2 linked regions of the Arabidopsis thaliana genome follow. The protein of the gene in region 1 interacts with the protein of each later gene in a pairwise test. Each region holds a gene or a part of one and is shown on either strand. Other genes may lie near its edges. The genes, in order: AHA10 and AT5G26250.

Region 1 (8,377 bases):
GTTGTATAGACATGGTATAGAAGATGACTCTCAGGTAACGCACTTATTGCTTTGTTTATGGGCCAAAGATCTTGTTCTCTACTTGAACCGTATCTCTAATGTGGTATTGAACAGAAATCAATTCTAATGGCTATGATCTAGTAACATTCTTTGGTCTGAGAAAAATTCGTAGATATTCTTTGACGAGACATTCACTTGCTTATGCTTTGGTTTTTGGAATGGTTAGGTGTATGCTATGTTGGATAAGACTATATGTGCAATGTCCAGTGTATTCATCGGAGCATCGGGTTCTACTTTTACAGAGGATATCTTGCGGCTAAGAAAAGACTGGGGAACTTCATCTATGTGCGATGAGTATCTCTGTCGAGGCGAAGAACCAAACTTCATAGCTGAAAATGAATAAACAAGTAAACACATTCGTTAATTTTCCTCTGTTTCCATGGTTCTTCTTCTTTACCTGTATTATAGTAGGTGGTTTAATGTCAAATTCGTTTGATTCTTTTCCGACGGTTTTGTGAATTTTGTCGGTGAAATATAGTTTATTTGCTTGAGAATTTTGTGTTCTATAAGAACAGCTTGATTGCTTTTGAAACAAGTAATTATAAACCAAGATTTATTCAACACGGAATGTGGACTAAATTAGTAATAATTGAAAACAAGAGAGTAAATATTCGATTACACAGGAAATAAAAGTGGTGATTTTTCAATTTAACCAAAGTGATGAACAATGATCACAGGTTCAGTGAAACACCGACATATATGGCCTACAATTGATCTCAGCAGAGCATATCAGGTGAAATTTCTGCTGTCACCGGAAAACAAGACTACATTACAGACTACAGATCATATGAATGCTCTAAATATTGTTTTTACTTCTCTGAGGAACACAACATTGTTCGATTCCTCTTTATGTAAATTTTGAGATAGGGAAAAACTAAGAGAGTGTTTTAGACAGTATGAGCTGCACGGATCATCCTTTGGTCAATTTGTTTGAGTTTGATCACAGATTCTAAATGCCTTGACACTGAATGAACCTCTAGAAGCCTACCAAATGAAAAACAATATAGTTATTTTGGTAGTATGTGAAAATGGAAGAGAATACCCAAAACGGGGTATAGATAAAAAGAGAACCTGGCGATTTCTGCACGCCTCCTGGTTTGTTCAGCGATCCAAGAAGCGCGAGAACGGCTTCCTCTGAGTTCTTCTGCGGAACGACTTCTCTGAGAGATGGTTACATTGGGCGATCCATCATCTTTCCCATAATCTTTCTTGTAAGTAAAAGCTGTCTGCAAGACAAACCAACGGTCTCATCTTCAAGAAAATGCATAGTTTAAGTGTGAGACTGACTAACAAGCAGAGGACAAGAGACACAGGACATGTACCAACCTTACGGTCCAATACGAGATTCCAAGCTTCTCCACTCAATGCGTAGTGAAAGACAAACTTTATAACATCTAGAGGTATGTAAAATATCAGACTGTATAACCATATAACACCTGCCCATCTCCATCCAATGCCGGTGATTTTAGCAAAGCTGATGTTGGCATACACAGCAATTAATGTAGCCGCCTGTGTACATGAAATGGACAAGTCAATATCACGACCTATGTGTGCTATATAGCATTCTGTGATGGAAAAAATGCGAAGTATGGGGAATTCGTACAAGTTGAGCAAGAATGAAGGCAAAAATCAGGAGAGTCCCGGGACGTTCAAAAAATGACCAGCCTCGACTACGTGTTACAAATATGAGTGCCTGACTGATGATGCTCACTTGGAGATACATCGCGGATGACACTTGTTCACTGTTGTTGGCAATTGATTTTACATGGAAGTGTTTCTGCAGCCATTAAAGATTGGTCACCGGTATGCATTCTTCTCGGTAAGCAAAATCTAACTTACTTTGAGTGATAGGAAGATACCTCGAAGAAGGTGGTAGAAACAATGATCCAGTAAAACAGGACGGTGACCAATGCTAGATATGTTCCAATGACAATTCCTGTCGCAAATATCTGGTTGAGCTTCCAACTCTCGGGTGTAGGAGATGGCCTAACTCGATCTTTAGAAATAGTCATGATAGTCCCTGATGCGTAGGAGATAAACATAGCGTTTGAAAGTGATAAAAATTAGGTTACATCAATATGAAGCTATTGATTAAGAGATTACCGTCATTGAGTATTGCGATTATCAGAACCATGAAAGGTGGGAAGTCGTATTCCCATATCAACGCTAAAAGTGTAAAACCAAGCTGCATGAAACAATGTCAAGAAGAGAAAGTTCAAGTAAGTTGATGTAACTTAACTAACATGAGTTAGATCATGTATCATGAAGCTCCTTACCACTATGCGTATGGTGATAGAGACTGCATATACCTGCAGATTCGTACTGATTAGTCGGTAATTCAGAGAAAAACATAAGCTAGTTGAGAATGTCATCAGGCTACTTGAAATCCATATCCTATATTATATGATTTTTCATTTCTTTAGCTATCAGGGATCAGATGATAGTAGTATAACTATAACTTTAGTACTTACTGTATAGTTCCTCATCCGCTGGAAAATGGCTCTGCTGGTCAAGACAGCACTGATAATTACACTTAAGCCGGGATCAGTTAGTACTATGTCAGCAGAACTTCTTGCAGCATCTGTTGCATCTGCGACAGCTATTCCGATGTCAGCTTTTTTGAGAGCAGGAGCATCATTCACACCATCTCCGGTCATTCCAACCACATGCTTCATTTCTTGTAAAATCTTTACAATCTCATACTTATGTTCTGTAACATGAGAGACAAAAAAAATTTGGGATTAGAAATGAGAGCAAATCTTAAATTTCGTAGGTACTAAGGTTGTGTTAGAATATGACCAGGGAAAACTCCAGCAAATCCATCTGCCATTTCAATTAGCTCATCCACTGGAATGGCTTCATGCTCATCATTGTTGTGGCCTAACAAAGAGGAAGAAGGATACATGTTGGTTCCCATTCCAAGACGTCTGCCTGTCTCCTTTGCAATCGCCAATTGATCACCTACATGTGGTTCCAAACTTATCATTCATTTTCCCAGAGTTTTACCGTTTACTCACAAGGGTATATGTGTTTCTCTGTCGGGCCAAGCCTACCAAGCTAAAGGTTAAGATTTACCAGTGATCATCTTAACGCAAACTCCCAGGCTAAGAGCTCTAAGGATGGTTTCACCGCTATCATGCCTTGGGGGATCAAACAGTGGCAACAGACCACAGAACCTCCATGGTCCTCCAGGACTGTTGTTGCTTTTCTCTGGAATTTCCTAGAAACAATTATTTAAATGATGCAATGAATTGGAGTAATTAATGTCATCATAACGTTCTTCTTCAAAAGTACACTTATGATAAAACCAGCTCAAGAGAGAAAGGGAGAGGACAATGATGTTACCTGATAAGCAACCGCAAGAGACCTCAAACCTTTTTCTGCAAATCTATCAATGATGGCATAAACTCTTTGCGCAATCTCATTTTTCTGCTGACACAAGTTTAGAACCTATAATATAGTGCAGTTGTATTAGTGATGGTATTTCTTTCATGGAAACAGTACAAAAAAATTCACTAAATTTTTACAACTAGAGTCAGTTTGGTAGTGCTAAGAATACATACCTGTTCAGGAGCACCTTTGGTAGCACGATACCATTTTCCATCGGAATCAATATACGTTATTGCAGTACGTTTGTCCACAGGATTGAATGGTAAGAAATGGATTTCTCTAATGTTTGCACGTGCCTACAGATAAACAACCTTTGTATGAGAAAAACTTCTAAGAAGGTGATAGTCTTATAAAAGAGAGTTCATGTTAGAGAAACATCTCTACCTCTCTGGGATCTGCAAGCATGCTAACAATGGCTGCATCTATAGCATCCTGATTTTCTAGTCGTGAAGCTCGGCCTGCAAGCAACAAAATTGTATCCTTGTCCATGTAGTCAACGAATACCTGTGCAGAAGGATTTGTACATTTAAACACCAACAATAGAGAACAAGACGATGAAGAAGGAGGCAACTGTTCTTAACAGTATTGTTTGATGAAATTCAAGTCGCATCTGTAGTATTGGTACCTCAATAAGATTTTTATCAACGGTAAGACTGTTCAAAGTAAGGGTTCCAGTTTTATCACAGCAGAGTACATCCATCCCAGCCATTTCCTCTATTGCGGTCATTCTTTTCGTAATGGCACCCTTAGAGAACATGAAGAAACAGATTATTGCTAACAAACTGTTTTAAAGAATAACAAACAAAGGACTTCCTTTTGCATTCAGCAGCTTAAAGTGGGATGTACCTGTTGTGAAAGTCGATGAGATCCAATGGCAAGCGTTACAGATAGTACAGTGGGCATGGCAATGGGTATCCCTCCAATCAGTAGTACAAGAAGATTATTGATCCCAATTCTGTAAGAGCGATGTTGTACAGGGAACATGATAATGATTTCAAGAACCATTCCAACAGCAATGGAGCAAATGCAGAAGTTTCCAATCGATGTAAGAACCTAGAAGAAAACATGTCAAAGACTACATTCGGTTTTTCCAGATTCCAAGTTCACTAATCAGGTTCTATCCAACCAAAAGGGAAAGAAAGAAGGAAAACCTGCTGAAAATGTCCAGTTACATCTGTACTGTCCACCAAGCGTGCTGTTTTTCCAAAGAAGGTGGTCGATCCAGTTGCTATCACAACAGCTTCTATTTCACCTTGTTTACAAGTAGAGCCAGAAAAGACCTGTTCACCCTTCTTCTTGGTCACAGGTAGTGATTCTCCGGTCAGCACTGACTGCAGGAATAAATGTTTTAACTATTCTGTCAGAGAAAGTCTTTACATAGTACACACTAAAAGAATAGAGACTAGATATTCTGGACGTACCTGATCAATCTTCAAGGGGTCTCCTTCAAGAAGGCGAGCATCTGCAGGAATGATATCCCCAAGCTTAATGCTAATTATATCACCAGGTACCAAGATAGAAGCATCTTGTTCTTGCCACTGTCCATCTCTAAGAACCTATAAGAGTGGATCTAAATCAAATTTAAGGTAATATAGAAATTAAAGTGCAGCTAACTTTGCCGTTTCGGCTCATAGGAAGGTTAAGAGCCATACTCTTGTTTTTAAAGCCAAGCGAGCCATAAGAGCTGCAGCAGCATTCCCAGCATTGTTTTCTTCAAAGAAGCTGATTGTTGCGTTGATCAGCAAAAGGCAAACGATTCCAGTAAAGTCTTCCCAGTCAGGACCTAGACTCTGTAATACCATTTTCACCATGAGTTTCAAGGTGCTTTTTCATAAACACTCATGGATGGAAAATGGTAGCAAAACTGTGGTTGTCTTACTTGACTATTAGCGAGGGCAATGGCCATCAATGCAGCAGCTTCCATAACCCATGACAAGGGATTCCACATAAAACCTAAGAATTTCACAAATCTGTTCTCCTGTATCATTGTTGTTTTAAATGGCGGTTAGCACAAGATAATAGAGACAATTGGCAGGAACACTAAGAAGAATGTCATGTTTATTACCTGTTTCTCTTCAAGTCTGTTAGGACCAAATATCTTCAATCTCTCTTCAGCATCTCCAGATAAAAGCCCTTGAGGCGATGTTCTTAGGTATTCAAAAACCTCCTCCAACGGCAATATACCCTGTCAAGCTCAAGAAGGGTCAAAACCCTTTTTTGCCACTAAGAATTCAAGTACTAATAAGAGTATACAGTTAAAAGGAACATTTACCAAATCAATTCCTTTTCTGTTGAAAGTATCAGGATCCAGCAATGGCTTGTCCAAATCCTCGGCCATACTTAAAAGCTTCAAAATGTATTACCAGGATCCGATACTAATTTCGTCGTTAAGAATATACCAGGAACAGAAGAGAAACAGGAATCCTTAAAAAGAATCCAGGAATATTGAAACTGAAACGACCATTCCATGGCTGACCAGTTGATAGAGTGTGGAGAAGAGGAGATTCTCCTGCAAGTCTCAATTGGTATCACCATTATTGGAAGCATAAGAGAGTTTGCGAACAGTAGATGTGAAAGACGACGAAAAAAGCAGAGAGAGAGAGAAAGAAGAGTGGTTAAAGATCTCACTTCTCTACCTAACGGTCACTCTCACTAGCTTCCTCTTTTTAACTTAACTTAACAACCACTGTTACGTCAACTGTTCTCATAGGACTTGGTCTCCTCTCATGTTACGTAGAAAATGAAATTGAGAAAGGATTAACGATGGACCAATGGTATGAGAAAATTGATCACAGGAATAATGAAAGCGTCAGGACAAAGAAACAGATAAAAAAAATATTAAAGATGTACGACAAGTCTAATTTTGTTATGTCTGGGCTATTCCCCCTTAGTCAACACTGGCCAACAAGTTTTTTCATCTTCTTTGTCTGTTTCTCGTCTTGTTCTTGTTCTCACCATGACTAATGAGGGGAGATTCAAAGCCAAAGGTTTTGTGAGAACTTCATCAACCACAAGACCAATACAAGCTCTGAGTTTTCACATGATTGGCATACTCCTTCAGTGTGTTCTTTTCATCAGTGTCCTTTCTATTGCAGTTTCAGAGGCTCTCTGCAACTCGCAAGATCGAGAATCCCTACTGTGGTTCTCTGGAAACGTTTCTTCTTCTGTTTCTCCTCTGAATTGGAACCCATCCATTGATTGTTGCTCATGGGAAGGAATAACCTGCGATGATTCCCCGGATAGCCACATCACTGCAATCTCATTGCCCTTTAGAGCACTATATGGTAAACTCCCTTTGTCTGTTCTGCGTCTCCACCATCTCTCTCAACTCAATCTTTCTCATAACCGTCTCTCCGGTCATCTCCCATCTGGCTTTCTCTCAGCCCTTGATCAGCTCAAAGTTCTTGATCTTAGTTACAACAGCCTCGATGGTGAGTTGCCAGTTGAACAAACATTTAGAAATGGAAGCAACAGATGTTTCCCAATTCGGATAGTTGATCTGTCAAGCAATTTTCTCCAAGGCGAAATCCTCCCTAGTTCTATTTTTATGCAAGGAACTTTCGATTTAATCAGTTTCAATGTCAGCAAGAACAGCTTCACAGGCTCAATCCCTTCGTTTATGTGCAAGAGTTCACCGCAGCTCAGCAAACTGGATTTCTCCTACAATGATTTTACCGGTAATATTCCGCAAGGACTAGGGAGATGTTTGAAGCTAAGTGTTCTACAAGCAGGCTTCAACAATATCTCTGGTGAAATCCCAAGTGACATATACAATCTTTCGGAGCTCGAGCAACTCTTTCTACCCGTCAATCATCTTTCTGGAAAGATCAATGATGACATCACCCACCTCACAAAACTAAAATCGCTCGAGCTGTACTCCAATCACCTTGGAGGAGAAATACCAATGGACATAGGTCAGCTCTCTCGCCTGCAAAGCCTCCAACTCCATATCAATAACATCACTGGTACAGTCCCGCCTTCTCTTGCAAATTGTACTAATCTCGTCAAGTTGAATCTGAGGCTTAATCGGCTGGAAGGAACCTTATCAGAGCTTGACTTTTCCCGCTTTCAGAGCCTTAGCATTCTAGATCTCGGAAACAATAGCTTCAGCGGTGATTTCCCTTGGAGGGTTCACTCCTGCAAATCTCTATCAGCGATGAGATTTGCAAGCAATAAGTTAACAGGACAGATATCTCCTCACGTACTGGAACTTGAATCTCTATCGATCTTGTCTCTTTCAGACAATAAACTGATGAACATTACAGGCGCTCTTGGAATTCTGCAGGGCTGCAGGAATCTGTCCACTCTCCTCATAGGAAAGAATTTTTACAACGAAACATTTCCAAGCGACAAAGACTTGATTTCCTCAGATGGATTCCCTAATCTCCAAATATTTGCTAGCGGTGGATCTGGACTGAGAGGTGAAATACCAGCTTGGCTAATCAAATTGAAGAGCTTAGCAGTCATAGATTTGTCCCACAACCAGCTTGTAGGGTCAATTCCTGGTTGGTTGGGAACTTTTCCCCACCTTTTCTATATTGATCTCTCAGAAAATCTTCTTTCAGGAGAGCTGCCGAAGGATTTATTCCAACTAAAGGCTCTGATGTCCCAAAAGGCCTACGACGCAACAGAAAGGAACTATCTAAAGCTGCCAGTTTTTGTCAGTCCCAATAATGTTACAACTCATCAGCAATACAATCAGCTGTTTAGCCTCCCACCTGGGATCTACATAAGAAGGAATAACCTGAAAGGAAGTATACCGATCGAAGTTGGCCAGTTAAAGGTTCTTCATGTCCTCGAGCTTTCTCATAACTATTTGTCTGGCATCATCCCACATGAGTTGTCGAAACTCACCAGCTTAGAGAGGCTTGACCTGTCCAACAATCACTTATCTGGTAGAATTCCTTGGTCGCTAACAAGCCTCCAT
Region 2 (5,688 bases), on another chromosome or scaffold:
ACTTACTGATCGAGTTTAGTTAATACTAAAAGTGGATTCTTCGTGGGGAAAAAAATATATTTGTTACACATTCATTTTTATTATTTTGTTTGACTTCGAATGTGTAAAGTATCAGATTTCGATTTGGTTATTAATATTTTAATCCTTTTTCCAAGTAACATGCAAGTCTATTGTGAAACGATATTTCTACGGATTTGTAGGAGATCTCGAAGTAGTGGGTGGCAAGTCACAAGTGTTCAAGATATGAACAAATTTTTAAGCAAAACGTTGTACACGAGAGATATAGTATATCAAAATCACCGACGAAATCATAATTATCCAAATTTTATATTAGATACAACTCACAAGAGAAAGCAACGCCCATGTTCAATTCGAAGCGTTTGGGTCCATTGGGAAAGGTAGATGTTAAATTTTATGGTAGACTATGAATACACAATACGGAACCGAAAACTGCGTACATACATTCAAAATAAATGAGTTATCTTTAAAATAATTAAAAAAAAAAAAAGACAAAAAGGTATGGTTTGTTGTATCTTTAATTTTTTTTAATTTCAGGTTCTGCATCAATTAGCCATAAAATGTATTTCAGTTTAGTTATTATTGTAGTGACCGACTCATGCCAGAGACTTCAATTTGGTATTTGATATTTTTATGATTTTTCTAAGTACCATATATATTATTTCTGTGGATTTGTGGGAGATCTAGAAGTAGTGGGTGGCAAGGCAAGTGTTTAAGATATGATTAATTTTTTTAAGCATAACGTGGTACACGAGATATTATTGTAATGATCGACTCAAGGCTTGACATGTTTAAACGGAGCTGACGTGCGATCACGACTGCGAGAATTTATGGATGCCTGCGATTGCGGTTTTAAAGCATTTTGAACGACTATTTTAGCGGTTAAAAATTGGTACGTTTGTGAATACGGACAACTGCGGTTTTACATGCATATAGCCATACATGTAGTTATTCTGATGTTTACAACTACATGTAGAACTGAAATGCAGTTCCATGTGCTACCAAAACCATGTGATCATGAGTTCATGACCATGTACCTCTCACTCTCAGTATTCAGATTTTTCTGTGGAAATAAAATGGCAAATGTTGTATAATAAAATAAAATAAAATTTTCAATTCGAAATCCACAACTAAAATCAGAAACAAATGGAGCACCGAATATTTTCGGGTGATAATTTGTTAATTACTCCTTCTGTTTCTTATTATTTGATTTTTTTGAAAGAAAAAAAAATGTTTTTAACAGATTGATTTTTTAGGTTTCCTAAGCAATATTAATTAGTTATTATTGATGAATATCAAATTTCAAAATAAATAGTTAAATATTATTGGTTTAAAATTATAACAAATATAAATCACAAAAAACAAAATATTTAGAATCATTTTTTAATATGTTTTCTTAACATGTGTTTTTTTTTTTTAAATCAAATATTAAGGAACATAGAAAGTATTGTACATGGATCAATCGTTGATAATAATGTGACACTTTTACCCACTGTAAAACAACAACTTTATTTTATTATGAACAATATTTATCTTGTATCAAGTGACTTAAAACACATAAAAATTGTATGACCCTGGAGTTTTCTTTTTTTATGTAAGATACCAAACCTGAAGAAAGCATATTATAATACAAGAATAACAAGTTGGTCTCTTATTACTGTATGTTGTTCCCCATATGACAAAAAAAAAACTAAGGAAAGTTAGAGAAAGAATGTGATCGATCAACAAGCTCAATCAGTTCTCTTCTCAACGTCATGCTCATCTTCCTCGAGCATAAACCTCTTCCAGTACCAATGTAGCTTCCACACACTATCTCTCATGTCATCAATGGAGACTCCTTTCGTTTCCGGCACGAAGAACAAAGCGAAAAGTCCCATCACAACGATCCAACCACTGAAGAAGAAGAATATCCCTGACTTCATCGCGCAAAGCATCGATAGGAAGGCCTGAGCGATCACGAACGTGAAGAACATGTTGCAAGACACGGCCAATGCGAACCCTTCCGTTCGAGTCTCCAAGGGGAAGGTCTCACTAGGGATTAGCCATCCTAGAGGGCCCCATGACCAAGCGAAACCCATCACGTAAACACACACGAAGATCACCACTACTAGGGCTTGTGGCCGTGCTAGCGTACCCGTCACGTCTAGGTCCTTGGCTAGGATGATTCCAATGACCAACTGTTTGAGAAAATTGTTAGTTTAGGAGGATCGCTTGTGACACAAGAAAAGTTAACTTAACTAATGTTACCTGGCATATGAGCATGTGAACGGAAGATTGGAGCAATAGAAATCTTCGGCCAGTTTTGTCGACAAGGAAAATCCCGACAAACGTGCTGAGAACGTTGATCGTTCCCGTGACAACCGCGGAAAGCAGAGCTGCGTCATTTCCAAACCCTACAGTCTGGAACAAAACCGGAGCGTAGAACATAATCGCGTTGATTCCAGTGAACTGTTGGAAAAACTGTAGCAACATTCCAATCACGAAAGGCGGCCTGCTCGCGGGTTTCATCAGTTTCGTGTAAGGGTCCTTGACCTGCCTTGCGATATCGCAAGCATGGACTATTGATTCATACTCCTCATCAACATCTTCAACGCCTCTGATCTTCTTGAGTGTTTCTTTTCCTTCCTTGGTTTTGTTCCGTTCGATGAGACTAGTGGGTGTTTCGCAGATGAGAAGCGATCCAAAGAGGAGGATGAGAGCCGGAATTCCCGCGCCACCGAGGGCAATTCTCCATCCGTAAGGATGAATTGAGGAGGTGAAGTAGTTGACTATGTTAGCAATTAGGATTCCAATTGTAACCATAAGTTGGAAAACAATGTTGAGACCTCCACGAAGCCTCGCGGGAGCAATCTCTGATAAGAAAAGCGGTACCGCCTACAAGAAAATCAGACACATTCTACAATGTTTAGTCATTGAAGAACACCAGAAAATTCAAGATCTCATACAAACTAAAATGCATATAAACTAAACCAGACCAAAAATTCAGTGAAAATTCATATCTTGTAGCATCTCAGCCTAAACACAAACTAAACTTGAAATAAAAAAAGATCATATAACATTATACCTGATTACCAAAGCCAACACCGAATCCAAGCAAGATTCTACCAATGATCAACATGTATATGTTAACAGCTCCCGCGGCAAGGCCAACACCGATCAAGAAGAAGATGGAAGCGAGTTGCATTGTGGGTCTGCGTCCGAGCTTAGAGCATGTAGCCGAAGCAAAGAAGCTAGCCACTAGAGCCGCTAGGTATAGAGAGGAAGTGAAGAGCTGCAAGAACTGGTTGTCATACTTGCAATAGTTGTTCTCATGCGCATGCTTCTTCCTTTCGTACACAGATGGGAAAAATTCCTTCAAGAAATCGTCCATCGCCGTTACTCCACCTATTTTTCATAATGAAATTTTGGTTAAGTATATGTACTTTTTAACATTTCTTGATCAGAAAGAAAGGGCTAGATTCTGTTTCTTAATCCATAAGTAATGCGAAAAAGATACAAAATAACGTTAGAGAAGAGAATCGAACCCGAGATTCCGATGTCGTAACCGAAGATCAAACCGCCTACAGCCGCGATAATGACACAGATGAAGACATAAACAGTCATCTTCGCGTCGAAAGACTTGGAATTACCATTAGAAGATATAACCACAGCCATTTTTTAACGTCTATGCTCTCTAAGAAATCTTTGTTTGTGTCTGTGTTTCTCTGTCTTGTAAAGAAGAGCGAGAGAAGAAGCAGACACAAATCTTTACACAAAAATGAGACAATGATAGGTTCATATATTTATACAGATCAGAAAGATAGAGAAACCAAAAAGAAGATAAAGAGGTTGTCTAAATATGGAATATTTTGTTATGAAATTATGATTGGTTGGTCAATAGATTTTGGATCAGTAATATTGTTTTTGATCCTCTTTTGGGGTTCTTACATTCAATATTTTGCTGTCGTAATGTCAGTTATTCACTTAGTGGTTTTTAATTCGTAGCTGTTACATGTAAGTTTTTTTATATATTGTTATTAACATCGATGGATGGCTTTATTACGTCTGGATTTGGTTATATCCAAAACATATAACAAGAACAAAACCTATCCCCATTTCCTTTTTATTTCCATCAAAGATATTTTCCTTCTCTTTTTGGAATAAAACAGATATTTTCCTTTTTTGTTGCATAATATAAATGATAAAATCTTGTATGGTCAAAGTTAATTATAGTATAATTTCATATGAATATTGAATATATTTGCTAGACTCTAGTATGATGAGTCATCATGACTCATGAGTCATGACTACTGTGATGTTGAACAAAGATGCAAATTTAGTTTCTCAATTTGATTTTCTAAAGATTAGGAGAATATTCAATTATTATGTTTACCTCTTTCATTACAAAAGTTTAGAGAAGTTGTAGCAATAGAAAAAAAGAAAAAAGCTTCGTAATTTTAGTTCTCTCAAAAACCAAAGTTTTTAAAAGTTATGATTTAAACCAAAAAAATTATTTCGAAAACCAAAAGTTTTATTAAAAAATTTAGTGTATATGATTAACATTAAAAAAAACAAAGAGCTAAATCATATATACGAAAGTTGGTCAATTTTTTGCATATGACTGGCACATCATCACAAAAAAAATGACATGTGTTATTTTAGATTATTTAAATTAAAAATTAGCCAAATTAAATGAAAAAAATAAAAGTTCTTTATAGCATTAAATCCTCCATCAATTCTACTCTTAAGTGATTTATTCAAAATTTAAAAAAACAATACAAAATTATGTTAATAAAAAGCACTACTTTCTTTATATTCTTCTTATTTTACTAAAAAGATTTTATCAATATTCACCATTTTATTATTTTTGTAATTTAGTTGTTTGCTACCTAAACTCTTATTAATTTAGTAATTTTACTTTGAGTCTTTCTCATTATTTTTTTTTGTGAACTTCTCATTATTATGTTTTGTTGTTCATATCTGACTCAATATATAACGTTCTCTCTTTTTATTTTTGTGTCCGATAAGTTGGTAATATTGACATGCAAATTTTTTCAAGTGATGAGCCTTTGAGATGTTAGGCATACAAAAGAATTTAAGACACGACTTTTCTCATATATAGCTATATGCAATAGTAAAATATATAAAAGTGTTGAATTAAATGACATTTTAGTTTTTGCTTTCCTTTTCTTATTTTCATATAAAAATTCTTGAGATCTTGTTCAATTTATGTTTATCTAGTATATAATAATGAGTTTATCACGATGTAATTGAAGTATTAGATCAAGAGAGTACACAAAACAAGAAATTATATTTATAATCAAGTTACGCGAGTTTCACATCACACAAATAACATAACTACATCTAATTGTATAAAAATATCCTATCTTGTTGATGTATGTATTCATGATGGTGAAAAAAATATTAGAATCTTAGAAATATAAATAATTATATATTTATATATAAAAATGTATAAATCGATATTTCAAGTAAAAAAAGAATCTAATCATAAAAACTGTAACTACCTAAGATTAATTTGATTAAATACACAATAACAAAGAAAAAAGTAAGCAAAAATTAGCAACAAGAAAAATCAACATAATTTTTTTTTAACAATTTTTGAAACAAACTCACGCGTAACGTGGGTATTCATCTAGTAATAATAAAATTATCTCATCTATTTCCAAATTT

What was found.
Region 2: the proteins of AHA10 (region 1) and AT5G26250 interact in a protein complementation assay, tested with the Arabidopsis thaliana proteins (one large-scale study listed by BioGRID).

Annotation. Positions count from the first base shown.
Region 1 is NC_003070.9:5,901,469-5,909,845, reverse strand, and holds AHA10 (autoinhibited H[+]-ATPase), read right to left. Parts: upstream 5,789-8,377; coding exon 5,723-5,788; intron 5,636-5,722; coding exon 5,516-5,635; intron 5,429-5,515; coding exon 5,330-5,428; intron 5,241-5,329; coding exon 5,103-5,240; intron 5,007-5,102; coding exon 4,872-5,006; intron 4,782-4,871; coding exon 4,602-4,781; intron 4,504-4,601; coding exon 4,297-4,503; intron 4,196-4,296; coding exon 4,076-4,195; intron 3,955-4,075; coding exon 3,835-3,954; intron 3,747-3,834; coding exon 3,624-3,746; intron 3,511-3,623; coding exon 3,406-3,510; intron 3,281-3,405; coding exon 3,136-3,280; intron 3,022-3,135; coding exon 2,860-3,021; intron 2,771-2,859; coding exon 2,532-2,770; intron 2,370-2,531; coding exon 2,337-2,369; intron 2,246-2,336; coding exon 2,164-2,245; intron 2,081-2,163; coding exon 1,920-2,080; intron 1,838-1,919; coding exon 1,664-1,837; intron 1,570-1,663; coding exon 1,387-1,569; intron 1,287-1,386; coding exon 1,132-1,286; and 3 more. Other genes in the region: AT1G17270 (O-fucosyltransferase family protein), read left to right, coding at 1-34, 227-403; RLP3 (receptor like protein 3), read left to right, coding at 6,407-8,377. UniProt on the Arabidopsis thaliana protein: The plasma membrane H(+) ATPase of plants and fungi generates a proton gradient that drives the active transport of nutrients by H(+)-symport. The resulting external acidification and/or internal alkinization may mediate growth responses.
Region 2 is NC_003076.8:9,194,742-9,200,429, reverse strand, and holds AT5G26250 (Major facilitator superfamily protein), read right to left. Parts: upstream 3,673-5,688; coding exon 3,543-3,672; intron 3,403-3,542; coding exon 3,083-3,402; intron 2,893-3,082; coding exon 2,266-2,892; intron 2,196-2,265; coding exon 1,749-2,195; 3' UTR 1,629-1,748; downstream 1-1,628. UniProt on the Arabidopsis thaliana protein: Mediates an active uptake of hexoses, probably by sugar/hydrogen symport.